Linked DNA regions of Stegostoma tigrinum. The protein of the gene in region 4 purifies or fractionates together with the protein of the main gene of each other region. This does not show direct contact. Links are inferred from orthologs where the notes say so. Each region holds a gene or a part of one and is shown on either strand. Other genes may lie near its edges.

The links.
Region 1: the proteins of transcription factor Dp-1-like (region 4) and max purify together in Homo sapiens (affinity purification with mass spectrometry; 5 studies listed by BioGRID and IntAct, with this or other methods). This does not show direct contact. The link is inferred for Stegostoma tigrinum from reciprocal best matches to the Homo sapiens genes TFDP1 and MAX.
Region 2: the proteins of transcription factor Dp-1-like (region 4) and e2f2 purify together in Homo sapiens (affinity purification with mass spectrometry; 3 studies listed by BioGRID and IntAct, with this or other methods). This does not show direct contact. The link is inferred for Stegostoma tigrinum from reciprocal best matches to the Homo sapiens genes TFDP1 and E2F2.
Region 3: the proteins of transcription factor Dp-1-like (region 4) and lethal(3)malignant brain tumor-like protein 2 purify together in Homo sapiens (affinity purification with mass spectrometry; 4 studies listed by BioGRID and IntAct, counting the BioPlex papers as one, with this or other methods). This does not show direct contact. The link is inferred for Stegostoma tigrinum from reciprocal best matches to the Homo sapiens genes TFDP1 and L3MBTL2.

What each region holds. Positions count from the first base shown.
Region 1 is NC_081363.1:71,192,904-71,199,981, reverse strand, and holds the start of max (protein max), read right to left. Parts: upstream 3,039-7,078; 5' UTR 2,831-3,038; coding exon 2,795-2,830; intron 2,516-2,794; coding exon 2,489-2,515; intron 1-2,488. UniProt on the Homo sapiens protein: Transcription regulator. Forms a sequence-specific DNA-binding protein complex with MYC or MAD which recognizes the core sequence 5'-CAC[GA]TG-3'. The MYC:MAX complex is a transcriptional activator, whereas the MAD:MAX complex is a repressor.
Region 2 is NC_081377.1:29,050,793-29,058,244, forward strand, and holds the start of e2f2 (transcription factor E2F2), read right to left. Parts: upstream 3,047-7,452; 5' UTR 2,759-3,046; coding exon 2,513-2,758; intron 1-2,512. UniProt on the Homo sapiens protein: Transcription activator that binds DNA cooperatively with DP proteins through the E2 recognition site, 5'-TTTC[CG]CGC-3' found in the promoter region of a number of genes whose products are involved in cell cycle regulation or in DNA replication.
Region 3 is NC_081391.1:5,934,435-5,941,791, forward strand, and holds the start of lethal(3)malignant brain tumor-like protein 2, read right to left. Parts: upstream 3,027-7,357; 5' UTR 2,942-3,026; intron 1-2,941. UniProt on the Homo sapiens protein: Putative Polycomb group (PcG) protein. PcG proteins maintain the transcriptionally repressive state of genes, probably via a modification of chromatin, rendering it heritably changed in its expressibility.
Region 4 is NC_081368.1:16,482,116-16,489,856, reverse strand, and holds the start of transcription factor Dp-1-like, read left to right. Parts: upstream 1-4,701; 5' UTR 4,702-5,191; intron 5,192-5,865; exon of another isoform or gene 5,866-5,885; intron 5,886-6,636; 5' UTR 6,637-6,715; coding exon 6,716-6,727; intron 6,728-7,741. UniProt on the Homo sapiens protein: Can stimulate E2F-dependent transcription.

The DNA.
Region 1 (7,078 bases), on a different chromosome or scaffold from region 4:
AGAATTGTGCTTAGCACGCAAGTCATGTACACACATCATTTAGGAAAAATAACCGCAGATAACCAAGTACAAGTCTGACTTCACATTCCTTCCTTCAAACTCCTGAATGTGCCTCACCAAATTAGATAATTAGTGAAAAGGACATATACCGCATTCCACAAGATAAAAAAACAGTCGCAATCATCTTGAGGCAACTTTGCACATCTGCTTGTAATGTCAGCTCTAACATTATCAGGTGAGGCACACTGAATAACACCTCAAAAACAGTGCCGAAAAATTGGAGCAAATTCTATACAAAAAATTTCCATAGTTTAATTTCTTACCAAACTACCATATTACACAGGAAGTTAAAGCTTGGAGCCACAGGTGACTATTGCCATGTATTAGCCTGACCAGTTAGGAATAGTGCAATTGTGAGAAAGCATTGGCAAACCAAATACTCTTTTTTTTTTGCAAATTTTGGGCAACAATCAATGCTTGCAGATTTCTTGCTGAAATAACAGATAATTATCTGGCTTGCAAACAAAACTGTGTTGCAACTGAAACTCCCACAAACTGGAAAACTGGTTAACTGCATTTTTCTGATAGATTTTGTTCAAAGTATTGGAACTTAATAAACAGTTAGGAATTTACCCAATAAACACATCTGGGATTTGCATTAAAAAAAGCAATTTTACTGAATTTCAAATGTAAAAAAAGTGAGAGGAGCACCTGCAATTAATTTACAGTCCAACAGCAACACACATACATTAGATTTAGTGCCCCTGCAGTGCTTCCCTCCAAAACCTGCACAGCTAGGAAGTCTACAAGCACAAAAACAAGTTGCTAAATACATTTAGTCCCTAATAATCATTCTATTCTCAGTGATGTTATTCATAACATCTGTAAGGCTCATCCTCATTTATCTTCCACAGGTCAAGAACTATGTGCCTATTTTTTTCTTTACTGAATGTTGGTTTCAATTAAGAAGGTAACTCAATTGTGGTCAAGGTAATAATTGGTAATATTTGTGTCATCATTCTGTTTAAAAAGTCTCACCTCAACACTAAATGTTGGAGGTCAGTCAAATAGGTCACAGATTCCTCCACAACTTTCAGGGCCATTGTTGCTCTGTGCTTACTTCACAGGAGACAAATAGAGGAATCTAAGTGTCACCTATTGAGGCAATACATTCTAGGTGCCCTGTAATGGACAATAAACAAAAATGTCTGGGCCTAAGGATCTGAATGTCAACCAAATATTAGGGTTTCAGCCCACCAGTGGAGTATTTGGCATCCTGGCTGCTCATCACAAGAAAAGTAAAATTTCTCACGGGATCCTAAAAACTTATACTTTCAATTTTTTTAAAATATTTAAATATGGCACATAACTAAGTGTTCAGTTGGCTTTTTAAAGGCATCATTCTACCTGATCAATGATTACACACACACTTCCTGGAGTCCATTTTGTGTTATGCATACAACCAAAAAAAACCCGTACAAGTATCTTAACTATTTACATTTTGTTATTAATAGGCGGAGAGAGGGGAAAAAAAAGTTTCTCGAAAACGACGAATAAGAATTGCTTTCAGCAGCCGGTCGTCCGAAGCCGCTGTATCAAACACGTTTACACATCTACAAAAGAGGAAGGGAGGGAGAAAAACAGCTCACGACGAATGTGTTAAATGCTCCCATTAGTGCAGGTTTCCGATGGATCGGACACACTTTCACGCGAAACGCGAAGATTGGGTGAATCAGGGGAAAAGAAGAGGGATAAAAAAAACATACTGGAACAAAAAAGATAAGATGCCAGCGATTTCGAGCGAATCTATTTGTTTGGCTTCAGTACAAGAGTGGAATGGATGTAAATAGGACGCGCTGAGGCTTGTGGGCAAAATGAATTGTTTTTGAAAACATTGCACAGGGAAAGGGGAAGGAATGAAAATCTCCAAAAGTGAAACGAAGATAGAAAATCGGCAAGCAAGAGATGGAGGAGAAGAATTCCTAAGACAGCGAGGGTTAAGGAACCACATTAAAGGGCATTCTGCACGACTGGGCTACTGGGCCTTTTGTAATGTCTCTAACCTAGACACTATCTATCACTCAAGCTCTAAACGCCTTGAGCTGGCCATTTGACCAGACTCAGGCGACGGGCGGGAATCGATTTTTTTAAAATATACAAACATCAGCAGTAAAGTTAAGTTTCGGGACATCTTACTTTAAAAATAAAGGTTGCAATAATATTCTGAAAAGGTAATCCAAATAAAAGAGGGAGGATACTGGGACAGCAGCTTGAAGCCACATCCCCAGCAACTATCAGGTTAAAAATAATAATCCAGGCTTTTAAGATTAATTTGATTTGTTTTTTCTTTGATTACACGAAGTAAATTACGTTTAGGGGATGGTAAAATAAGTTTAAAGATTATTTAAGTATATAAATAAGATTTATTTTTTTTTAAAGAAAAATCAAGGCGACGAGACGGGGTCTATGTTAATCCTCCGTTACGTACCGCTGTCTGAAACCTCGGCTGTTCTTCCTGAAAAACAGACAAGTGCACAAAATGATCACACAGCCGGAGAGTTGGCGCTTTACAAAAAAAATCGACAGAAAGAGAGAGAGAGAGAGAAAAGGGGGAAAATCCGTAACTACAGAGAAAAAAGGGGAAAAATTATTTTTTTTTCACAATCAGGTGGAAACAACTCCCAACACGTTAAAAACGTTTTATTATTATTTTCGAAACACAAACGAAACTGAAAAATCAAGCAAAATTTCGAAACAAAAATAACAATAATAGAAGGCACCAGGCGAGACTTACGTCGCTTTCGACCTCGATGTCATCGTTATCGCTCATGCTTTTTTTTAATTTAAAAATAAACCCAAAAAAAAAGAGATCGCAAAAACGGAAATTAAACTTTCACAGAAATAGTAAATTAATGTCAGAACGTACACAAAACAAAAACAAAACACACAACTGTGAAGGGAGAAACCAACAGCAAAAATCACTCGTGACTCCGGGAGCAGCTCCGCCCGACAGGCCACGGCTCCCCTACATCAACCTCGCCCCCACTGCGCATGGGCGGCTGGGCTGGTGCCGCTGGGGGATGTAGTACCTTTCACAATTGGCGTCCACTATCCGCTCTGGGCGCCTGGACTACCTTTCCCATAATCCCCGGCCCCACCACCGACTGAGTTCCACCCGTCAGCTGGATGGAAGAGGTAATGGGAACTGCAGATGCTGGAGAATCCAAGATAACAAAGTGTGGAGCTGGATGAACACAGCAGGCCAAGCAGCATCTCAGGAGCACAAAAGCTCCTGAGATGCTGCTTGGCCTGCTGTGTTCATCCAGCTCCCCACTTAGCTGGATGGGAGAGATGGCCGGAAGTCGTCCGACCACCCTTGGACGCGGGGCACGACGGGAATTGTAGTTCCCCTCACCCCTCCCTGTTTCCCGGCCGACTCTTCCTGAGAGTTATAGCGGCCGAAAGGAGGAGGGCAACATGGCAGTGGGGAAAGTACGTGGAGAGAGTAGGATGTTTGACTTGGCAACGGGCAAAACAATTTTCTTCGGACTCAGAGTGAAGATGAAAGCACCCACACAAAGCGATATTGTGTGGATGTCCAAATTCCTTTGCATCTACAACTTTATTTCACAAACAATTCGTATGAGACGATGTTAGAATATCTAAAGTTTACAGGTTATCTCGTTGAGTCACAATGTTACCAGCTCTTTGATGACCAACTCCCTCACCAGAGATAGTAGGAACTGCAGATACTGGAGAATCTGAGATAACAACTTAATAAGGATCCTCATAAGAGGTTAGTGGGCTAAGTTAAAACACATGCTATGGGTCAATATATTGGCATGGATTCCAGATTGGTAGACAGACAGGAAATAGAATGAGGGTAAATGGGTCTTTTCTCAAATAGATGACAGTGGCTAGAAGGTTATCACAAAGATCAGTGCTTAACCGTCAGCTATTTGCAATATACATAAATACCCAGGGCCAGGTACAATGTTTTTAAGTTTGCTGACATCACAAAGCTTGGTAAGATTTGTGAAGAAGATGCAAAAAGGCTTCAAGTTAAACAAGTTTAAACAAGTTAAGTGATCAAAACACTGCCAAATGCATTACAATGTGGCTAAATGTATACACAAAGTATACACTTTGGTGTGAAAAACAGAAAGGAAGAGTATAAAGTAAATTGTGGTACATTTCCTGGTACAACAGGAAGTTGATGTGCTGGAAATTTTGGCAAACACTAAGATTGATAAGTCCCCAGGGCCAGACCAGATTTATCCTAGGTTGCTCCGGGAAGGGAGAAAGGAGGTTGCTAAGCTGCTGGCGAAGATCTTTGCTTCCTCACTCTCCACGGGAGTCGTACCGGAAGATTGGAGGGAGGCAAATGTTGTTCCTCTTTTCAAGAAAGGGAATAGGGAAATCCCTGGAAATTATAGACCAGTCAGTCTTACGTCTGTGGTCAGCAAGGTTTTGGAAAGAACTCTGAGGGATAGGATTTATGACTATTGGAAAAGCATAGCGTGATTAAAGGGAGTCAGCATGGCTTTGTGAGGGGCAGGCCATGCCTTACAAATCTTGAGTTCTTGGAGAAAGTCATGAGACAGGTTGACGAGGGTCGAGCAGTGGATGTGGTGTGCATGGACTTCAGCAAGGCATTTGGTAAGGTTCCCCACAGCAGGCTCATTCATAAAGTCAGGAGGTCTGGGATACAGGGTGATTTGGCTGTCTGGATTCAGAATTGGTTGGCTGACAGGAGGCAGAGAGTGGTTGTAGATGGTAAATATTCTGCCAGGAGATCAGTGCTGAGTGGTGTCCCACAGGGCTCTGTTCTTGGGCCTCTGCTCTTTGTAGTTTTTATAAATGACTTGGATGAGGAGGTTGAGAGGTGGGTTAGTATGTTTGCTGATGACACAAAGGTTGGAGGTGCCGTTAGTAGTATCGAGGGCTATTGCAGGCTTCAGCGCGACATTGACAGAATGCAGAGCTGTGCTGAGAAATGGCAGATGGAGTTCAACCTGGATAAATGTGAGGTGATGCATTTTGGAAGGTCGAACTTAAATGCTGAATATAGAATTAAAGGCACGATTCTCAGCAGTGTGGAGGAACAGTGGGATCTTGGTGTTCAAGTGCATAGCTCCCTCAAAGTTGCCACCCAGGTGGATAAGGTTGTTCAGAAAGCATATGGTGTTTTGGCTTTCATTAACAGGGGGATCGAGTTTAAGAGCTGCCAGCTCCAAAACCCTGGTGAGACCACATTTGGAATATTGTGTCCAGTTCTGGTCGCCCTATTATAGGAAGGATGTGGAGGCTTTGGAGAGGGTGCAAAGGAGGTTTGCCAGGATGCTGCCTGGACTGGAGGTCTTGTCTTACGAGGAGAGGTTGACTGAGCTCAGACTTTTCTCTCTGGAGAGAAGGAGGAAGAGAGGTGACCTGATCGAGGTGTACAAGGTAATGAGAGGCATGGATAGAGTCGATAGCCAGAGACTTTTCCCCAGGGCAGGATTGACTGCCATGAGGGGTCATAGTTTTAAGGTGTTAGGAGGAAGGTATAGAGGAGACGTCAGAGGGAGGTTCTTCACCCAGAGAGTTGTGAGCGCATGGAATAGTTTACCAGTGGTAGTCTTGGAAGCGGAGTCATTAGTGACATTTAAGCAACTGCTGGACATGCACATGGACAGCAGTGAATTGAGGGGAATGTAGGTTAGGCTATTTTAGTTTTGGATTAGGAATATTCCACGCCACAACATTGTGGGCTAAAGGGCCTGTACTGTGCTGTACTTTTCTATGTTCTAAGGTGTAGAGCTGGATGAACACAGCAGGCCGAGTAGCATCAGAGGAATAGGAAGGCTGACGCTTCGGGCCTAGACCCTTCTTCAGAAATCACACATCCCTCACTTCAAGTCTTTGTCGAATCGCTCGAACATGCCTTAGAAACTCTCAGGATCAATCTCCACAGGTTGTCCCACAGGGAGAGAATATATCCATTTCGTTCTGCTTCTTTAAGGCTTTGGGACTTGATGTGTGATGTAGCTTGATGTAGAAGGCGTGAACTTTCTGAATAATTGGGAGCAATAATGCTAATACTGTGACATTTTAAGGAGCGTTTTGGAGTGATCTTTGGAACTGTGTGAGTTGTCCGTTTAAGAGTTAAAGAACAGGACCAAGATGGGTTATATGTTTGTTGGCCATTTGAATGGTGTGCAGTTCATCAAAGATAACAAAGTGTGGAGCTGGATGAACACAGCAAGCCAAGCAGCATCTCAGGAGCACAAAAGCTGACGTTTCAGGCCTAGACCCTTCATCAGAGAGGGGGACGGGGAGAGGGAACTGGAATAATTAGGGAGAGGGGGGAGGCGGACTGAAGATGGAGAGAAAAGAAGATATGTGGTGAGGAGGTAGGGAGGGGATAGGTCAGTCCAGGGAAGACGGACAGGTCAAGGAGGCGGGATGAGGTGGTAAGTAGGAAATGGAGGTGCGGCATGAGGTGGGAGGGAAGGGATGGGTGAGAGGAAGAACAGGTTAGGGAAGTGGAGACAGGCTGGGCTGGTTTTGTGATGCAGTGGGCGAAGGGGACGAGCTGGGCTGCTTTTGTGATGCAGTGGGGGAAGGGGAAATTTTGAAGCTTGTGAAGTCCACATTGATACCGTTGGACTGCAGGGTTCCCAAGCGGAATATGAGTTGCTGTTCTTGCAACTTTCGGGTGGCGTCATTGTGGCACTGCAGGAGGCCCATGATGGACATGTCGTCTGAGGAATGGGAGGGGGAGTTAAAATGGTTCGCGACTGGGAGGTGCAGTTGTTTGTTGCGAACCGAGCGGAGGTGTTCTGCAAAGCAGTCCTCAAGACTCCACTTGGTTTCCCCAATGTAGAGGAAGCCACACCGGGTACAATGGATACAATATACCACATTGGCAGATGTGCAGGTGAACATCTACTTAATATGGAAGGTCATCTTGGGGCCTGGGATAGGGGTGAGGGAGGAGGAGTGGGGGCAAGTGTAGCACTTCTTGCGGTTGCAGAGGAAGGTGCCGGGTGTGGTGGGGTTGGAGGGCAGTGTGGAGCAGACAAGGGATTCGCGG
Region 2 (7,452 bases), on a different chromosome or scaffold from region 4:
CCAACTGATTAAAGGAAGCTTGGAAGGAGGTAGCTATGAAGACAGTGCCTATGGGCAGCTCAAGAGAACCCAGCTCCAGTGCCAGAAGACTAAATAACTTCTGCCTTCTACCTCAGTACGTACCACTTGACATCCCTCTGAGTGAGAGTTAGCACCGTAAGGTTGCCTCTACAGAGGATAGCAATACGAGGGTTGGCAACCAAGCAACTCCACTGGATGCCTCACGGGCCATCAATGTCTGTCACTTAATGCCAGCTACCAAGGCAGCATTGCATACCGTAGTACTACTGGCTCCCACACAACTGGGAGGGTTCATATGCAAAATAGTGAAGGAGTTACAACACTCAGCAGCTCACACACCATCAGCTCACTGACCTTCCATCACAACTTGATAACATGCACATCTGATTGTTTTCAGCAATGGCTTGTATGGAACAAGGGTACAAGCACAAAAGCTGGCCCCAGGGAGTCAAGCTTCATTTGACCGCCCCAATCAGGTTTGCTGGCATCAGGCAATCTGGCTGCCATGTGTGGGCAGGCTTGATGGATGGTCCAGTGTTCAACCCTAACATTGACTTGTTAACACTTAACAGACTGCACAAGGCCAAGACTTCTCTTGAGCCACTGAACATGGAGATGCTTCACCCTTCTCAAGTGTTTAACTACAAAAAGGTGGCAGATTGCATATGGCAGACTTATAGTGAGTTGAATGAGCAGGTCAGGCTTCACCCGTTAAACATTTGAGCAAAGTAACAGCTTGATTAAAAGGGAATCAAGTTGGTGAAGTTTATACATACTGTCCAGAGTACGGAGGGCACAGTCTACGCTGGCTGGCACTGGCTTGTGTGCTTTTCTGTGAATACACAAGAATATCTGCAAGTACATGATCTTGCCATTTTGGATAATGGGATTGGGCCTATTAATGCAATTCCAGTGGGTTAACAACAAACATGACATGCTAATGAGTACAGAAATGGTGCTCAATGAGGATTAGGAAACCTTACCCATCTGAAAGTTCCTCAGAAATTGATTGCAAAACCTTAACCTATCAAGAAACTGAATTTTTGCCTCCAATTAAATACCCCTGCCTAGCTTTCTGAAAGCTCCAGCGTGTCCTCAAAGACTCCCAATTGTTGATATCTTTGGTGTATAAATAAATATTTGGGGCAAAGATAAGAATCAGAGGACTAAATGGCATTCCCTGCTCTCTCTGTCAGAGGCAATGGAGCGAGCAGCTGAACAAGAACTCCAGCCCAAAAGGAGCAAGAGCAATGAATCAAAAGAGCAATGTTTATACAGCATGCAAGAGATGACAAATACACCTTGTAAATTAATTCCCCTGCATACTGGAAAACTAAACTTCTGCTACTAGAGTCCGTCCTCGGAAAAACAGTTCAGTCAATAAGAAACTCCTTCCCCATCCCCCACAAAAAAGTAGGCCACGACCAAAGTAAGTATTTAAAAACTGTGTTTTTGGGTACTGTAACATCATCTGTGCTTTACAAGCTCCCTGGTCCATGAGAAGAAACTTCGATGAGGTCAGTAATAAACAAGGTGCCACAGGTGAGCATTGTCTTGCGTTAATATTGCCTCATTCTCAAAAGATGCCGAGTGGGGCTTTTGAATAAATTCAAGAGGGGAGGGGTGGGTGCTATACAGAGACAAGATTAGATCTAAGTATTAAGCCACAGAAGATCAATATTTAAAAATTGAAACAGCCCTATTCCCACAAAGAAGAGGGTCAAAAAGAAAGTTCAGCAGCAACATTTCCCTGCAGTTTGAAATCATTACATTTTCATTTTTTACATTTTTCTGCTGGGGATTCTACTGTCAGTTCCATTTTTACCTTTGAACCCCAAGCTGCCTACACTATAGAATTGGCATTAAACATCCTTCCCCACCCTCCAGTAAAAATATTGAGGTTAAAGGCTTGGTGCCAATAAAGTGCCAAAGGCTGGTTACTTTCATTTTCATTTGAATTTCATACAAGGAAGCACCCTCCAAAAAGTTGACACCTCTTGATTGAAAAGATATTATATTGAGAATGTCCTCAACTTTAGAGCCAACCCAAGGCAAGCCCAGCAAAATTTCAGTGACAGTTTGATCACCTAAGAAAATTGTCAACGTGTTTTGATGATAAATCGGGAGGCTTGAGAAACTTTTAAATCGTCCTGAAATAAATGAAAAAATTAAGGCAGCCTAGAGTTACAGTAAACAGCCATCTGAGCATTTTCTCTATCACAATAGATCCAGTTACACAGCAAAAAGCGAAACCTGTCTTCACACTCCACATGCCCCCCACCCCCACCCCCATCCCACAAACGCATACACAAAAGTAGGGTTAATTTATCAATGCTGCATTTTTGTAAAACATGTTACTAAGAGCTAAGTAAATTTCCCTGAATGATTATTAATGCAGTGTCCTGATAACTGCAGGAACTGAGCAAAATACACCAAGTATAAACGCGCGATTATTTCAAAATGAATGTATAAATTATAAAATTACACTTACCGGCAGGCGCCCTGTGCTAGTCCTTATTGTTCTAACTTCAGGTCCTTGAGGGGTTGCATACAGGCAATCACTGTGATCAGAATATACTGCTCCTGCAATTTGGGTGAAATAACTGGCAGGGATGGTGGGGATCTGGGGGCTACATAGCCCGGTATTCCCATTTTCCACATTGATTAGCTTTTTCTGGGAACCAGTCACTGCCCCAATAATTCCCCTGCCTGGGGCTGGGGAAACTCCCTTTGGCATTTTTGGCAAGGCTGCAATCTTTCCCCCACTCTCCCCCTTTTGTTTGCAACGAGAGAGAGAGAGAGGGGCAAAACAAAATGGTTAACTTCAAACCGGGATTTGAACACAAAATAAAAGACAGAGTCAACAAATGCAGGCATATAAATGATTAGCAGAGTCCCGAGATTAAACTGCACGGGGTCTCACAGCTAACGTTGCTTTGGATGCAGCAGGATGCAATGGATTGTAAAAGGTCCCCTCTGATTCAGAGGGGAAAAATGGCTGCAGAAACTGTACTAGCTCCTGAATGCAGCCTAATTCACAGACTCTGAAACTCAGCCTCTGGCGCCAAAGCCTGTGCCGCGAAATTCATATTTCCCGCCATCTGTTGCAAATACCCGTCGCTGATTGGTGGTTAACTGACCAGGATACATGCAACGGTAGCCAATCACAGCGCTCAAACTGGTTTCTTAAAGCGACAGGAGTAGCACAGACTTTTTAAAAAGCCTGACTCCAGCTGAGGCTTGCACAGCATCCTGACTGTTTTAATACTTCGCAGCCGTGAGAGAGTGAGTCTGTGTAAAGACACAATTAATGATGGTTTCATGAAAACAATTTATATTTCTTTTCCTTGCATTACATTGCCTTTATTAAGCTGCATTGCCACCTACATTATTTGGCATGATGTTCTCTTTCTCTGCCTGGTCGTGCAGAAGACCGTTGTTACACCTGTCTTTATTGGATCAGAGCATTGAGTATAGGAGTTGGGAAGTCATGTTGCAGTTGTAAAGGGTATTGTTGGGGCACTTTTGGAATACTACATTCAAATTCTGGTCTCCCTGCTATAAGAAAGATGTTGTTAAACTTGAAAGGGTGAAGATAAGAGTTATAAGGATGTTGCGAGGCTTGGAAGGTTTCAGTTATAGGGAGAGGTTGAATAGGCAGGGCTATTTTCCCTGAAGGGGCGGAGGCTGAGGGAATGACCTTATGGAGGTTTATAAAATAATGAGGGGCATGGATAGGGTGACTGGCCAAGGACCTTTTTTCCCCAGGGTAGGGGAGCCCGAAATGAGAGGACATAGGTTTAAGGTGAGAGGGAAAGATTTAAAATGGACCCAAGGGGCAACTTGTTCGTGCAGAGGGTGATGCATGAATGACTGTGGGAGGAATGTGCTGTGAGAGGAAGTGATGGAGGCTGGTACAATTCCAACATTTGAAAGGCATCTGGATGGGTATGTGAATAGGAAAGGTTTAGAGGGATATGAGCACAATGCTAGCATTTGGGACTGGCTTAATTTAGGATATGTGTTCAGCATGGCAAGTTGGACCGAAAGCCGTTTCTGTGCTGTGTGATTGTCGGATTCTATGATCCACTCCCAAAATGCAGTTTGCTGTTTAAGTGACACAGCAGTGAGTTATCTAACCACACAAGACTGAGAGTTAAAAACTCATCTGGAGACTTGAGTGTGTAATCCAGACCATTATTCCCACTGGGGAACTGTAGGAGTCCTGCACTGTTCAAGGTGCTTCCTTTTGAATGCAATGTTCAATTGATTCAGCCTCTTTCCTGTCAAGGACTGTTCATCATTGTCTTAAGGAGGAACAGGGGAGATCATCCCAGGGTCCTGATCAGTACTCCATCCTCAACAAACATCATTATAATGTAGAATATCTGGTTTTGACCACATTGTGGGATCTTGTTATGCACAGGTTGGCTACTGCATTCTTCTTTATTCGACCCTGTGATGTGGGCACCGCTGGCTAGGCCAACATTCATTGTCCATTGTTAATTGCCCTGAAAAAGGTAGTGGCGAGCTACCTCCTCAAACTGATGTGATTCTATTTTATCGAAAATTTGGCCATTAGATATTGCATGGTGTCCTGAGGTTGGGAAAGGCGCTATATGAATGCAAGGTCATTTTTTTCAAAAAAATGCAAACTGCTATTGCTAATCTTGCACCCTTTCAGCATGCAGTGTCAACACACAAAAGCACTTTCAATGACATGGTGTTTGGATAATGAGCAGCGACAGGGAGCTGGCTGATTTACCTTTGCCTTAACCCAGAGGAATTGTGGCCAATTGTAACTTTCCCAAAGCCATTGCAGCCGAGATCAGCGGTGTCCCAGGGGGAACCCCAACCCAAGTCTTTGTCGGATTCAGGAAGAGTTCAAGCAATAGAAGGCTGTTGATGTAGGAACAAACTGCAATTGTGCCTTGGTGTTGGAAACTGAAGAAAGAAAACACCTTTTCACATTGGGAGGAAACCATGAACAAAGAGGAGAGGAATAAGTGAGTAGAAACAGATGAACAAAAGGACTCGAGAGAACAGGAGAGACAGAGAGAGTGGCAAACTAAGTGTGAGAGAGAGAGAAAGCAGGGAAAATGGAAAGGAAACTGGACCTCAAAACTAACTTCATAATAATCAGAGTAATGTTAACAATCATGTTTTAACTGTTTGGAAGCATGAGGAAACTTACTTTTGCCCATCCATTACAGCGTGAGGTCTCAGAGGTCACTGTCACTCAAACATTGCAGAAATGGTTGTAAAAATATCTATTTCTCGACACCTGCTACCCGTCCCCAGCCACAAATTTTTTCCAGTTTCACTCCACTCGGTAAGTGCAGTCTAAGTGCAATTCATTTGTCTCTAATGAAGAGATGAGTACCAAAGGAAGTGAATCACTTTGCCCAGAATCATTAAAAAAAACGCTGAACTTTTTTAAGTAACTAGGGAGCAGAGAAATACTTCCTCCATCAGTATGTCACACATCATACTGGCAGAACAGAATCTGCACATGGCTTGGTGAAGAAATTGTTGTGAGGTGGAGTTTCCTGAGATTACAGCCATTTCCAAAACCATGCGCTTAGTTCATCCATCTGCCTGTGGTGGGAATACAGGGTGAATGAAGCAGGTCAGAAGAGAACTGATTTGTTTAAGTATAGGTAAGTGTGAGGTAGTGAACATTAATAAACGGGTAAAATTAGAGTCAAAATGAGAGGAGCAAGGAGCTCTAGGGATATAGATGCACACATCACTAAAAATAACAATGCAGGTTAATGAGGCCAGAGCACTGAGATTAATTTCTAGAGGGATAGAATTGATTGGAAAGATATTGTGTTATTTTAAACTTGTGTACAACTTAGATTAGACCTCTGTTGGAGTACTGTGCATAGTTCTGACCTTTATAGGTAAACACTCCAAATCTAGCTACCCCAAAACCAGCATTTTCTGAAGTGCAGGCTTTTTTTAAAATTGATTTTTTTTCTCAATTTAACCAGTTGTACTGACATAGCGAAGCGGGAAAGCATGAAAGAGATATTAAATCCGATGCATGAGAGGTGAATTAATATCACCAGGCACATGATATTAACTTAGTGCTTGGCAGTCATATCAGTTGGTTTCCCTTCAGGCTGTACTTACCATATTAAAGTGTTCCAATCTGAACTAGTGAATTCCAGTTTATCATCTCTCTGAAGACTGCCATGTTCCAAAGACTGGCACAGATTGAGTCCCAAGGTTGCTAAATTTGGGAGTGTGTACCGGTATTATGAAAAGGCTCTGAAGTCACCAGAGAATGCGGAAAAATTATTTCCAAGGCTGACTTAAGAACTCTGTTCACATAATTACAAGAAAAAGTTGGGCTTATTTTACCAGAGTAAGCAGACAGCTGAAGATTGACCTGATAGAAGTCTTTAAAATTAGAAGTAGGGTTTGGTGGGATAATTATAAATGTATGCATCCTATATGGGGAGGTGGTATTAATGCTAGACTGTTAATTCAGAGACCGAAGCAATATTTTGGGGAGCTAGACTTGAATCTCGCCATTGTTGATGGCGGAATTTGAATTCAACAAAAATCTAGAATTAAGAGTCTAATGATAACCATGAAACATTGTTGATTGCCAGGAAAAAAAAAACCCATCAGGCTCTCTAATGTCCTTCCTTTAGGGAAGGAAACTGCCATCCTTACCTAGTCTGGACTCTATGTGACTCCAGACCCACAGCAATGTGGTTGACTGCTACCTGCCCTCTGGAATTCGGGAGTAACTACTTTACTCTGAGAGAATATGGAGTACCAGGTGAAGTAATTGTGACAAACTGCCCTGATGCATTAAAGTGGAACTAGATAAGGGAGAAAGCTGTATAACAACACATGGATAATGGATGAGGTAGAATCTCATGTGGAGTCTAAACATTGGCATAGGTTGGTTGCATGGTCTGCATCTACATGGTAAAGTTCTACATTAAAAAAAACTAAAGCATCGTTCATTTCGTTATTGTTTGGAATCTTGCTGTCTGCAAAAGTGGCTGCATAAGATTAATAACTACATAACAAAGTGACTAATTAAAGTACTTTGACAATTTTTTGAACAAACGCAAATCCTCCCTAGTGGGAGCAGTGTTGTCCTGGTAACATAATTTTTTTATCTTTTTACCAAGCCTCTGGAAACATAGACGGATAATAACAAGTTTAATGATCCACTAAAAAATGTTGCCAACTGCATTTGTGACAAAACCTTTTATATTTAAATTAGATTATTTTTTGAGTGCCTTCAACAGCTGATAGACATAAGATCATAAGAAAATGGAGCAATAGTGAGCCATTCAGCCCTCAAGCTCTCATCACCGTTCAATAAAATGATGGCTGAATGGATCGTGGCCTTAAATCCACTTTCCTGCCATCCCACACAACCCTAACTCCACTGCAGAATAA
Region 3 (7,357 bases), on a different chromosome or scaffold from region 4:
AGATGTAATGGTATTACAGTTAAATAAAGGTAATTACAGGGGCATGAGAGAAGAATTGACAAAAATCGACTGGAAGCAGAGCCTAGCAGGGAAGACAGTAGCGCAACAATGGCATGAGTTTCTGGGTGTAATTGAGGACACAGTACAGAGGTTCACCCCAAAGAAAAGAAAGATTATCTGGGGTAGGATTAGACAGTCATGGCTGACAAAAGGAAGTCAGGAAATGTATCAAAGTAAAAGAGACAGCCTATAAAGTGGCCAAGAGCACTGGGAAATCAGAAGATTGGGAAGGCTACAAAAACAAACAGAGGATAACAAAGAGAGCAATAAAGAAGGAGAGGATCAAATATGAAGGTAGGCTAGCCAGTAATATTAGAAATGATAGTAAAAGTTTCTTTCAATACATAAGAAACAAACAAGAAGCAAAAGTAGACATTGGGCCGCTCCAGACTGATGCTGGAAGGCTAGTGATGGGAGATAAGGAAATAGCTGAAGAACTTAAGTACTTTGTGTCAGTATTCACAGTGAAAGACACGAGTAGTGTGCCAACAATTAAGGAGAGTCGGGGGGGCAGAGTTGAGTATGGTAGGCATTACAAAAGAGAGAGTGCTAGAAAAGCTAAAAGGTCTAAAAATTGATAAATCTCTTGGCTCTGATGGGCTACATCCTAGAGTCTGAGGGAGGTGGCTGAGAAAATAGCGGAGGCTTTGGTTATGATCTTTCAAAAGTCACTGGAGTCATTGGAAAATCATTGTAACCCCCTTGTTAAAGAAAGGATCAAGGCAAAAGATAGAAAATTGTAGGCCAATTAGCCTCACGTCAGTCGTTGGTAAAATTCTAGAATCCGTCATTAAGGATGAGATTTCTAAATTCTTGGAAGTGCCGGGTCAGATTAGAACAAGTCAACATGGATTCAGTAAGGGGAGGTCGTGCCTGACAAACCTGTTAGAATTCTTTGAAGAGGTAACAAGTAGGTTAGACCAGGGAAACCCAGTGGATGTTATCTATCTAGACTTTCAAAAAGCCTTTGACCAGGTGCCTCACAGGAGGCTGCTGAGTAAGGTGAGGGCCCATTGTGTTTGAGTGTGGTCCAGGAAATGGCTGATGAAATTCAACGTGAGCAAATGTGAGGTCCTGCACTTTGGAAAAAAGAATACAGGCATGGACTATTTTCTAAATGGTGAGAACATTCATAAAGCTGAAGTACAAAGGGATCTGGGAGTGTTAGTCCAGGATTCTCTAAAGGTTAACTTGCAGGTAGAGTCTGTGATTAAGAAAGCGAATGTAATGTTGTCACTTATCTCAACAGGGTTGGAATATAAAAGCAGCGATGCGCTTCTGAAACTTTATAAAGCCCTAGTTAGGCCCCATTTAGAATAACATGTCCAATTTTGGGCCCCACACTTCAGGAAGGACATAATGGCGCTGCAGTGTGTCCAGTGGAGATTCACACGGATAATCCCTGGAATGGTAGGTTTAACGTATGATGAACGGCTAAGGATCCTGGGATTGTATTCATTACAGTTGAGAAGGTTGAGAAGAGATCTAATAGAATCTTACAAGATAATGCATGGCTTAGAAAGAGTGGATGCTGGGAAGTTGTTTCCATTAGGCAGGGAGACTAAGACCCGCAGGCACAGCCTTAGAATTAGAGGGGGTAAATTTAGAACGGAAATGAGGAGACATTTCTTCAGCCAGAGTGCTGGGCCTATGGAATTCATTGCCACAGAGCGCAGTGGAAGCCGGGATGTTAAACATCTTCAAGACAGAAACTGATAAATTCTTGATCTTGCAAGGAATTAAGGGCCACAGAGAGAGTGCAGGGAAGTGGAGTTAAAATGTCCATCAGCCATGATTAAATGGCGGAGTGGACTCGATGGGCCAAATGGCCTTACTTCAACTCCTATGTCTTATGGTCTGTTTCCATGCTGTACAACTCAAGGACCGTACATGGCAGCCTCTGTGGGAGAGAAATTGGAAGCTGACATTGGGGGCAGCACCATGGCTAGCATTGCTGCCTCACAGCACCAGAAACCAGAGTTCAATTCCATCCTTGGGCAACTGGGTGGAGTTTGGACATTCTCTCCATGTCTGCTTGGATTTCCTCTGGGTGCTCCTGTTTCCTCCTACAGTCCAAAGTAGTGCAGGTTAGGCAAATTAACTATACTAAAAATTACCCATGGAATATGCAGACCTACAGGCATAGGGTTGGGAATGTCAGTCCAGGTAGCAAGTTCTTTGGAGGGTCAGTGTGGACTTGATGAGCCAAACTGCCTGCTTCCACACTGAAGGGATTCTATTAAAAAAAAACTACAGATGTTGGAATTCTGAAACAAAAAAAAACAGAGAAACTCAACAGGGTTGGCAACATAGGGGCAGAAAGCAGGCAGCAAAGTTCTGAATCCAGTAACCCTTTTTCAGAAGGGTTATACAGCAATTTCTGCATTGGTTTCAGGGTAAATTAGACAATGTGTTGCAATCATAGTTCACTGTTACTCATTGAAAACAAACGCCAGGGACTGCAGACCTAAGATTACTAAACAGTGCAGCATCTGATAACATTGTAACGAGACGGATGCTTTGTCTTGAACCTGTAGATCGAACCCTGACAGCACAGACTTTTAGCAACATTTTAAAAAAACTCCAAGATTATCACTCACGTGGATATCACAGCCTTAGCAACAATGTCTCTCTGTTTACTTGCAAATTTTACTAACTGGAAACAAATTGGCAAGAAGGGAAAACATTAAAAACACACAAACCCTAGTTTCTACAATTTGTGGTTGAGGTATCATCGACTTCAAAAACAGCTTCATTTGTCTGAAGCAGCTGGACTTTTAGTCATTACTCATCCTAAAGCTCACCTCATAAATTGCACAAACTGTCTTATTTATAATTAATTCAGCACACTTTCTTTCAAACAAAAACACAAAAGACTCACAATCTTGTTCCTCCTCTTTGTGCAACTTGATGTTCGAATTCAGGTACACAACGCCGCCATTTCAGGCCGGATCATTTCCTTTAACGTGCTCGCTCATTGGAGGGGGCCGCAACCCCCGTCAACCAATGGAAAGAACAATAGCAGGGTAGGCGCTACCGAGCACTCTGGGAGATGTAGTCCATCAGCATGAATGGACAATTTTTAACCCTCACAGATAATTGCAGGCAGTGTAGGTTTTCCACCGCAAATTAAATTATCCAATGTTTTTCTACTCCAAACTAAATTATCCAATGTCCTGAAATAGCCATTTTCTGCTCCAAGCTAAATTATTCAATGTTTTGAAATAGCCATTTTCTACTACAGACTCAATTATCCAATGCTTTGAATTAACCATTTTCCACTGTAAACTAAAGTATCAAGTGTTTTGAGTAAGCCAACATAAAAATACATGGCAATGCAAATTTCATGCCAAAAAGATTTGAATAATCACACATTCAGAGTTCACATTGAAATGATTAAGATTCTGTAAGGGCTCGATTGAGTTGAGTCTGAGATTGTCTACACTGGTCTTGGAAGTAATAAAATACAGAAGCACAGTCTCAGGTTAAGGGGCCAATCATTTAGGACTGAGATGAAGAGAAATTAATTCACTGAACGGTTATCAATCTTTGAATTCCCTACTCAGATGGATGCAGAAACTATTGTTGAATGTATTTAAGGCTGGGATAACAGTTTTTGGTGTCTCAGGGAACAAGGTCTCTGGGGCATGGATTGGAGAGTGAAGTTGAAGCCCAATATCAGCCATGATTGTAATGAATGCTGAAAAAGGCTCAACAGGCTGAATGGTCTCTTCTGAACATCTAACTTAATAATTTTGAATGATATGCAGCACCTACTGATTAAAAGCAAGCAGGACTAGACTCAATGTTGAGTTTTCCTCAGTACATAATTTATTTGCAGAAAGTGGACCTGTATAACTTTCTTCTTTAATTAATTATTCACAGTAGTTTATTGTGTAGTCAGGGTTAGGGGATGTCTATAAGTATCCCATAATACACTGCACGGATCCATGTATTTTTCATGCAAGAGTTCTTTACTCACAGGAAAATCTGTACATGCATCAGAGGCTGTAACTGTTGTTACATCAGCAACACTTCAGCTTTGATGTTAACACCATGACTACAGTTATGGATACTGTTTGCTACCCAAGGTACAGACAATGTGGTATATACCCTTGAGAAGGTGGTGGTGAGTCGCTTTCTGCAGTCCAGGTGATGCAGATACACCCACAATACAGAACAAGGTCTCTGGGGTGTGGATTGGAGAGTGAAGTTGAAGCCCAATATCAGCCAAATTATGTACAGAATTGCAGAAATTTGACCTAGCAACAAGGAACAGTGGTATCAATCCAAGTCAAGGGCCCTGCAGTGATTTATTTTGGCTGAGATGGTTGACCTCTAAAAAGCTGCTAATTTGTGTTCAGCAGGTGTCCAGGATGACGACACAAATCCAAGGCATAAGAGTTGGCTTGGCTTGTAAGGACAGTCTGCAAGAGCCCACCCAACATGTCTGATTACACATCAGCACTTACTAACTCAGCACCATCCCCTACAACTGCCCTTCCCTTACCAACCCTCAACATCAGCAACTTACACCACCCAACCCCCCCAACACCTCCAACAAACCCCAACTCCAGGCATATTGTTCCCTGATGTGAATGTGTCCTCTATCCCTTTCCTGAGAGTTGGCCACCCTAGTAAAGGGCAAGTTGCTGCAGTGCATCTTGTAGATGGCACACACTGCTGCCACTGAGTTTCAGTGGTGAAAGGAATGATTGCTGAAGGTGGTGGCTAGGGTGCCAATCAAGTAGGCTCCTTTATCCTTGATGTTGTTGAGTTTCATGGTTGCCCGATTGCTGAATACATTTCAGACAGAGGACTATAAACAACCTGGCAGTCAGACTTTGTCAGGGGCAGGGAGAAAAGTGGAATTGCGGTCACAGTCAGATCAGCCATAAATCTTAGCAAATCACATTCAGGCTCGAGGGGCTGAATGGCCTGCTCCTGCACCTAATTCATAAGTTCTTGTCCAGTTGGAAGCCAAGCGGACAGCATTCCATAACATTGCTAACTTATCCCTTGCAGATGGTGGGCAGACTTTGGGGAGTCACTCACTGCATGATTCCCTGTCCTTGGTTGGCTCTTATAGTTACAGTGATAATGGGAACTGCAGATGCTGGAGAATCCAAGATAATAAAGTGTGAAGCTGGATGAACACAGCAGGCCAAGCAGCATCTCAGGAGCACAAAAGCTGACGTTTCGGGCCTAGACCCATCATCAGAGAGGGGGATGGGGTGAGGGTTCTGGAATAAATAGGGAGAGAGGGGGAGGCGGACTGAAGATGGAGAGAAAAGAAGATAGGTGGAGAGGAGAGTATAGGTGGGGAGGTAGGGAGGGGATAGGTCAGTCCAAGGAGGACGGACAGGTCAAGGAGGTGGGATGAGGTTAGTAGGTAGGAGATGGAGGTGCGGCTTGGGTTGGGAGGATGGGATGGGTGAGAGGAAGAACAGGTTAGGCAGGCAGAGACAGGTTGGACTGGTTTTGGGATGCAGTGGGTGGAGGGGAAGAGCTGGGCTGGTTTTGGGATGCGGTGGGGGAAGGGGAGATTTTGAAACTGGTGAAGTCCACATTGATTCCATTGGGCTGCAGGGTTCCCAAGCGGAATATGAGTTGCTATTCCTGCAACCTTCAGGTGGCATTATTGTGGCACTGCAGGAGGCCCATGATGGACACATCATCTAAAGAATGGGAGGGGGAGTTGAAATGGTTCGCGATTGGGAGGGCAGTTGTTTATTGAGAACCGAGCGGAGGTGTTCTGCAAAGCGGTCCCCAAGCCTCTGCTTGGTTTCCCCAATGTAGTGGAAGCCACACCGGGTACAATGGATACAGTATACCACATTGGCAGATGTGCAGGTGAACCTCTGCTTAATATGAAAAGTCATCTTGGGGCCTGGGATAGGGGTGAGGGAGGAGGTGTGGGGGCAAGTGTAGCATTTCCTGCAGTTGCAGGGGAAGGTGCCGGGTGTGCTGGGGTTGGAGGGCAGTGTGGAGCGAACAAGGGAGTCATGGAGAGAGTGGTCTCTCTGGAAAGCACACAAGGGTGGGGATGGAAAAATGTCTCGGGTGGTGGGGTCGGATTGTAGATGGCGGAGGATGATGCGTTGTATCCGGAGGTTGGTAGGGTGGTATGTGAGAACGAGGGGGATCCTCTTTGGGCGGTTGTGGCGGGGGCGGGGTGTGAGGATGTGTTGCCGGAGACACTGTCAAGGACGTTCTCGACCACTGTGAGGGGAAAGTTGCAGTCCTCGAAAAACTTGGACATCTGGGATGTGCGGGAGTTACGGTAATTTTTATGCCTGTTTCGGTTCAGTTAAAAGTCAATGGTAACCCGAAGGACGTTGACAGTGGTGTTGAATGTCAAAGGGAGATAGTTGGAGTCTCTCTTGTTGAAAATGGTCATTGCCTTACACTTGTGTGACACAGACCTCGCTTGCCTTTTAACAACTCAAACCTAGATCTTGTTGACATCATGCCACACTTGGATGTGGATTGCTTCAGTCTCTGAGAACTCGTGAATGGTGCCGAACGTCATGCAATCATCGGCAAACATCCCACTTCTGACTTTGCAATGGAGGGAAAGTCATCGATGAAGCAGCTGGAGGTGATTGGGCCTAGGACACCACCCTGAGGAACTCCTGCAGAGACATCCTGGAGTTGGAAAAGATTGCCCTCCAACAACTACGACCATCTTCCTTTAATTTAATTGTGTGGGAAATGGTGGGGTTCTATTTTAATCGTTTATGGGGTGTGAGTGTTTCACACAAGATCAGCATTTGTTGCCCTTTCTTAATAACCTACAAACTCAGAGGCTTGCTCGATCACTCCAGAGGAGATGTCCATGACATATCTGAGGTCCTGGAACCATACATAGGTTGATGAGATAAAGACAGCAGATTAATCTTCCTTCTCAATGAACCAGATTTTTATGTGATAATTTAAAGCTCTGTGACCACCATTACTGAGTTGAGTGTTTAATGACTTTAATAACTTCAAATTTAAACATCACCAACTGCCTTGGTGGGCCATACTCTCACACCCCCAGAATATCAGCCCAATCCAGGATTACTCGTCAATGACATTAGGCCTTTGACTTTCCTGATAAGAGTATGGCCTGAAGGGGGCTTTTGGTTGCCCTTCAGTCCTAGACTGCTGATCATTTGCCTGTTCAGAGGGAGAAGGCTACGTCAAAGGATGGACTATGTGTGATGGAATGCTCCCCATTTGCCTGGATAGATACAGCTCCAACAACAACCAAGGAGCTCCACACCATCCAGGACAAAGCAGCCGCTTGATTTGC
Region 4 (7,741 bases):
ACTGCACCACACAACCAGCCCAGCTCTTCCCCCCCACCCACTGCATCCCAAAACCAGTCCAACCTGTCTCTGCCTCCCTAACCGGTTCTTCCTCTCACCCATCCCTTCCTCCCACCCCCAGCCGCACCCCCAGCTACCTACTAACCTCATCCCACCTCCTTGACCTGTCCGTCTTCCCTGGACTGACCTATCCCCTCCCTACCTCCCCACCTACACTCTCTCCACCTATCTTCTTTGCTCTCCATCTTCGGTCCGCCTCCCCCTCTCTCCCTATTTATTCCAGTTCCCTCCCCCCATCCCCCTCTCTGATGAAGGGTCTAGGCCCGAAACGTCAGCTTTTGTGCTCCTGAGATGCTGCTTGGCCTGCTGTGTTCATCCAGCCTCACATTTTATTATCTGTTCTGGGGCAAGTGTTTGAATTGATCATTAATGTTATAATTGGACACCTAAGACATTCAGGGAGTCTCAGCATAGTTTTGGGAAAGGGAAATCATGTTTAAGCAATTTTTAGATGTCTTTGGAGTAATGTGCAGCGGATAAAGTGCAGCCTATAGATGTAATGTAGTCAAATTCCCAGAAGTTATTTGATAAGATGCCACAAAGGTTATTACAAAAAACAAGCACAATGAGCTGGTGTGTTTGTGTGCACACAAGCAACATATTTGCTTGGTCGAAAGATGTTCTAAAAACAAAGAAAATGATGTAATTGGGAAGATGTGACAAGTGGACTCCTACAAGTGCCTATGCTGAAGTCTCAATATTTTACAATTCATACCCAAAATTCAGATGAGGACAGCAAAGACCATATTCACAGAAAATTGAGGATAAGCAGGAAAATATGTTGTGAAGACGACATAGTGGGCAAAATCTGGCAGATTGAGAAAAATGAGACACATGAAGTTGTTCACCTTAATAGCAAGAATATTATTTGAACAGCGAACAACGCAGGATCCCACACTGCAGAGGGATTTACGTGTTCTAGTGCATGAGGCACAAAATGTTAGCATGCAAGTACAGTAAACGATACAGGCACATGGTATTTTTTTTTGCAAGAGGAATTGAACATAACAGTAATGATGTTATGTTCAATTATATAGGACATTGGTGAAACCACATCTCAAGTATGTGTGCAGTTTATACCACCTCAGTTAAGGAGGGATGTAAAGATGATTCAGAGTTAGTTCGTTAGACTGACACCTTGAGTGAATAGATGGTCTTATGGATAGGCTAGACAGGCTACATTTGTTTCCATTGGAGTTAAGAAGCACGAGGGATAATTTGATTGCAGTATATAGATTTCCTAACCTTGGTGACTTTCACATGGCTTAAGAACATTCACGCATGAATTGGCTAGAAGGCCTGTAAATAGTCAAACAATGAAGTTGCTTTCTTGCCTAAATGAAAGGCTCACGTTCTTAGGACACCAAGTGTGCTTTTATCATTCTGTGTGATTTTCAACTTTTTGGATGTCATTTCACAGATTTTGAATCAGTCACCTTGATCTCCCTTCCCTTCTGTCAGCCTTCACGGCAGCATGGGAGCAGTCTTTTTTATAACTCTAATGAGCAACAACATCGGCAACAACTGTTGTGCCTTCACTTCAACAGCATGCCACTTCCCAGGATAGAGGAGATGGATGCAAAATTCTACCTCTCAAGAGTCTAGATCCGTCGCACAGGGTTTACTGGCAAAGGATCAATTTTCTCAGTAGACAGCAAATGTGCTTCAGGAGGCTCAGGCTTTTGTGACGGGTCATTGCTGACATCTACAGCCTTCTGGAAACGACCTGCTTCGCAGTAAACTAGGGGGCTACATACTGTCAGTGGAAGTCAAAGTCACTATGTCCCTGGATTTCTATGACCCATGATTCAGAGTTGTCCAACACAGAAAAAGTCTCTTCGGTCCAACTTATCCATGCTGACCGGATATCCTAAATTAAATTTAGTCCCATCTGCTAGTACCATATCCCTCTAAACCCTTCCTATGCATACACCCATCGAGATGACTTTTAAATGCTGTAATTGTACCAGCTTCCACCACTTCCTCTGGCAGCTCATTCCACACATGCACCACCCTGTGTGAAAAAGTTACCCCTTTGGGCCCTTAAAAATCTTTCCTTTCTCACCTTAAATCTATGCCCTCTAGTTTCAGACTCTCCAAGCCTGGGGAAAAGACCTTGGCTATTCACCCTATCCAAGCTCCTCATGATTTTATAAACTTCCACATGGTCACTTCACAACTTCCAACCCTCTGGGGAGAACAGCCCCAACCTACTCAGCCTCCTCCCTATTGTTCAAACCCTCCAATCCCAGCAACATCCTTATAAATATTTTCTGAGACCTTTCAAGTTTCACAACATCCTTCCTTTATCAGCGAGATCAGAATCTCACAATTAGCTGCCCATAAATGCATCTACCAAGTAACCAAAACCAAGCTGGTCAGGACTGCATTTATTTTTATGTTGCTACCAACAAAGCCAATCATAACCAGATGTCTTTTGCTTCTCCATTGGTGCAGGAGTTAGAGATTGCACACATAGCAATTTAGGTAGCCTCAGATCAAGGCAGCAATCTTTTGACGATTTGAAGGTTTTCACTTCAGTGTTCCAAATTTGATGTGTAATTCAGCTCACCGGACAGATCTGGAGGATCTTTCGATCTTCCACTTGTAGCAACAAGGCTGTCTAAAATAGGGAGGGTCCGCTTTGGCTTGCGAAAACATCACACGGCAAAGAGAACTGAAGCTGCAGGAACAGGAAGGTGAAGACAATGGTAAACTAAGTATGCAAACCATTAGTTAGGGCAAGCACATACACTGTTCACTGACTTGCCTGATCCTCCAAACAGGTAGCCATTCTTTCCGTAAAGTTTTGAATATCAATTTAATGGTGCTAATGTTTAAGACCAAAACTTCCAATCTTTCTCCAGGATGCAATATGTCTCTGAAAATGTACATAGAATCTCACATTTTCAGCTGTTGTTCCAGAATAGTTCCCTTTACTATTCACTGCCAAGCCTCAGCATTTGCTTAATGATAATTATCACATGGCCATTTACAGGATTTCATTTTTGCTTTTTAAATATTTATGAGATGCAAATGTCACTGGTAAGGACATTTCTCATCTTTAGAGGGTGTTGGTAACCTTGAATCACTGCATTCTACACAGTGTCAGTACACCAACTGTTAGAGAGGTAGATCCAGTGTTCTGGGCTACTGACAGTGAAGGAATGTCAATATATAGTTCCAAATCAGGAACAGTGAGAGACTTGGAAGACAACTTGCAGATTGTAGTGTGCCCAAAATTCTACTGCCCTTATCCTTCCAGGTGTTATAGTTTAGGGGTTTGGATGTTGCTGGAAACCTGATGTTTTGCACTTTGTACACTGGGCACACAGCTCTCACCATGCACTGGTACTACAGTCAGTAAATATTCAAGGTAGTGAATGGGTTGTCATACAAGCAGACTTGCTTTATCCAGGATGCTGATAAGCTTGTTCAGTATTCAGGGAGGTCACTTACCAGAGAAGAGTTTTACATCACACTCTTCACTTGTTATTTAAGATGGGAGTCAAATTTTGGGAATTGAACTAAATAGCACAGAGTGCCTAACATCTGATCTGCTCTTGTAGCCACAGTATTTAAATGGCTGGTTCAGTTAAGTTTCTGCTCAATAAGTCCCAGAATGTTGACAGGAGGGAAATTCTGTGATTGTAATGCCAGGACTTCACTCCATCCGTTAAGGGTCAAATGCTGACTTGATGGTCCAATTTTGTAAGGGCTCTCTTTACCAGACTTCTATACTGTACCAAAATTCTCTTTAGTACCAATTTTCCAGGGCTCCAATTAGTTAAAACTGGAATGAAAACAAAAATTGTCGGCAAAACTCAGCCGGTCTGGCAGCATCTGTACAGAGAGAGAAAAAAAAAACGAGGTAACGTTTCTAATTCAGGGCCTTGTTTCACTCATTCGATTTATGGCTCACCTGCCCTGTAGAGATCGCGTCTTAGTCTGACGCTCCAGAATGATAGAACCCCTAATGTGAGGAAGCAGGGCATTCGGCCCATCGAGCCCAGTCCGAAGAACACCCCGTCCAGACCACAGCCATGTCCAGTGCAGACTAACGGGAGACATTTAGTCGCGCTCCATACCCAGGAGCGGTCCGCACAACCATGATGAAACAGTTGCCTAAGCTAGGCGCATGGCTGTGGCTGTACCCGAAGAATTACAAAGCATTCTTCTTCATTAGGCTGTAGCTACCAACGAATGCCATCTTACCTGACCTGAAAGGCTGAATTGACAACCACATCCCTCAAATACTCGAACAAACTCTTGCTCTCCGGTCACGTCCAACACATTTTCAAAAACAACAGCTACAGGGAAAGCGCACGCTGGCTGAGCCTCCACCAATCGCCAGCCTCGATGGATGAGAAGGCCGGAGGCTTATTTCGTAAAAACGAATCCGATTGGGCGAAGGGCAGACCCCGATGGGGGCGACGGCTGTCCGCCCTCGGAGGGCCAACCGCGTGGGGCCGGAGACTTCGCGGTGGGAGGGGGAGGGAGAAGAGAGGGGGAAGGCTCGTTGAATAGACCAATGGGGCAGAGTCATGGAGGCGGGGCCGAGCGAGGAGCCAATGGAGGAGCGGCGCGAGCCGGACACCGCCAAGATCGGTTGAGGATGAAAACAGTTGTGAGCGACTGTAGGCAGCTTCATTTTGGCCGGAGCGGCGCGTCGGTTGGTGGGGAGGGAGACGGGGCGGCAGTGCGTTTGAAAGCCTATCTTATCCTACCCTAGGACCATCTAAACACCCTAAACTGCTATCCTCCTCCTCTTTTACCCACCCTGCGCACTAGTTGCGATTAAAAAAAAACTGACAGAAACAAAAAAAACTAAACCCTTCCCGCCTCTCAGAGAATAATGACAATGTAATTCCAGTGGATTGGAGCTGAGTTTTATATTAATTTTTGAATCTATTCCCCTGATGTGTCTGGTGCTGGCCGAGAAGCGGCGATTTGCTTCATTTCTCTCACTCACCCCTATCCCCCGCCATCCCCTTCTTTATTTGGTAATCGCTGTTATATTTATTTTAAATTTCTCTTCTTCACATTACTCCCCTTTCACCCCCCCTGGAAAGAGGAAAAAAATTGAGAAAGCGCCGCCTGTGGAGTCGACAGATTGATATGTGTTGAAAAGGTATCATTGCTTCACCTCGGTCTTTTTTTTTCTTAAGAAAATAGGGAAAGGAATATGTGATCGGCTTAATTTTAGCCTCAAACTAAGCTTTTCTCAAGTTTCTTGTCTAGATTTTGTCTCGGTGATGTTCCTGGAAATGAGTTAAAATGACTGAAGTGTTTTTGTTGTTGCTGCTTCGTTTTCTCTTTGACACGAATTAAGGAAGGAGAGGCCTGGTGGTGTGGGGAGGGAGAATTGTATTTTTTTTAAGCTGTAATCTTGCAGCACTGCTATGAGTCCCATCTGCTGTTGCTTTGGCTTCAGGTTGTTTACAGTAAGAGAGCCCCTGGCTTCAAGGCCTATAGGCTCCTGATGAGGAGGGGAGGGGAGAGTGCCGAGGTTGGAGGTGTCCCAAGTTGAAGTGGAGTGGGTATAGGGGGAATTGCAAAAACGGCCCGAATTGTTTAAACGTATGAATTTTGCTAGGCTTTCAATTTTAAAAGAAAATTTGAATCGCCTCCCAATATAACACCAGAGTATGTAAGACATCAGCACGAAAGACAAAAGCAATTGCAAGCTAATTTATCTAAAACTTTTTTTCGTCCAAACTTCTTGACGTTGTAAATGTGCATAGTTTTTATATCTGTATGTATAATCTTGAAGGAACTACACCTTTTGAGCATATATATTGATGAAAGGGATAAGCTCTCTCAAGGTTTGTTTCGAGCATGCTTTCAAAGTAAAAAGTGTAATCTTTAAATGCTTGATTTTCTGATCGTTAACAGGACGGTGAATATAGAGTATGGAAGGCACTGATCTTTAGAACGGGATTTGAAAAATAGCGATTATTAAATGTATTTGTATTTCATATTCGTGTATCTGGTGGATAGGCCATGAGGCCTGGCGGGGCCTTTTTGCTAACTGATCTGCAGGAAACCGGTTGTGTTAACGTCCTGTCTTAATGTATTCTGATACCGTTTTAGGATTTGACCTTAGTTTGCAAAAGTAATAATGTTGATCAGGTTTTGGTGTAGGTTTTAAACTAAAGTAAACTGCAGATTGTTTGATCAGATTTTACACAATTTGCCTAGTTGCTTCTGGAGGACTAGGCCCCAACAATCTGTTTCAGTAATTTACAAATTAAGTTTTGCTTGTATGCAATTACCAAGTTTCTTTGATTTTTTTTCATTGCCTAAAGTATTTTCATTTGTAATGTTTTCAAATATTTGAACAAACGTTTAAAATGACCTAAAAGCTGCAGAATATAATAGGCAATTGACTGAATAAATAAAGATAATAGCAGTATTTCTGCTATGTAATGTAACTTTAAAAGTGACAAGCCAAATAATCGTTGAAGTTCTGAAAAGTTAAATGAAGGCATAAGTTAATTAGCTGTTATATTTTGGAACTTGTGCATTAAAGAAGTTTACTCAAAAAATTATTCAATTTCACTCTTTTACATTTAGGTGCCGTCACATTGGAATCCTGCATGTTTAATTTTGGCAACTGAAGTATCCAAAATTCAGCAATAAAAGTACCATTAACATGGCCAAAGATGTAAGTCTTTTATTTTTGCCAAAAATAAAGCCTTAATTGTGAAATTATATGCAACATTACTCTGTAACATTAGCTAGCATTTTTGTATTAATCCAAAGATGCCCTTGGCCTTATTTGCTTTTAAGGAATAGAAGACGGTTTGCACTTTTATAGTATATCTCATATTGCAAGTTGTTAGGAATCCACTAAAATACTGTGTCCAATTATGTGCATTTATATCAGCGAACATGGTAGCCAAGATCTACAAACATCATGAGTTGAACAACTGCTCGGTCATATTGCATGTTGTGTATGTGGATTATTGAACAGCATAAAAAGAAGGCTCCTTCAAGTGGTGTCATTGTGTTTCAGCTGTTCTTCAGGTACACACGTCTGGATCCGTCAACTGGCAGAAGTCATGGAATCTTCTTGCCCACTTGAGTGGATAAATGGGTTAATGTCCCATCAAAAAAACAGAAATTCTGCAATGTGGTGCAACTGTCTTTACAATACGTTGAAAGATATACCCACACTACATCAGGCATATCTTACTCTAGCTTAAGTGCAGCATTCTTACACTTTCAACATCAAAACACATTGTAAGGTTTAATCCTCAGTTTACTTCTTGCTCCTGTGATCATAAGCCTTTAGACTTGTTTTTTGATACACTCTACTCTGTAATTCTTGCTGTTCTTACAATCAGTATATTTCCCTGTATATGGCCCTTCACCATCTTTTAGCCATTTAAGACGGACAATTCTACATCATTATGCACAAACCATTTGCTGTATTGTTGCATCAGAAATTATAACTAATTTAACAACAGAGATTTTTGAGTATTTTGGCCAACAAATATCAGCAGTTTGATTTTATTATCCTCCCAAAAAGAGGGTGTGAGTGACGATAAATATCTTCTCTATCCCCACAGGAGAAAAGTCCAACTAGTTTATTAGCTAGCTGCTGATTATGTACTTCAATTAATTGTTCTTAGAAATGTTCTTACTCTTCACTTCAGAATGCACAGCTGTCTGTTGG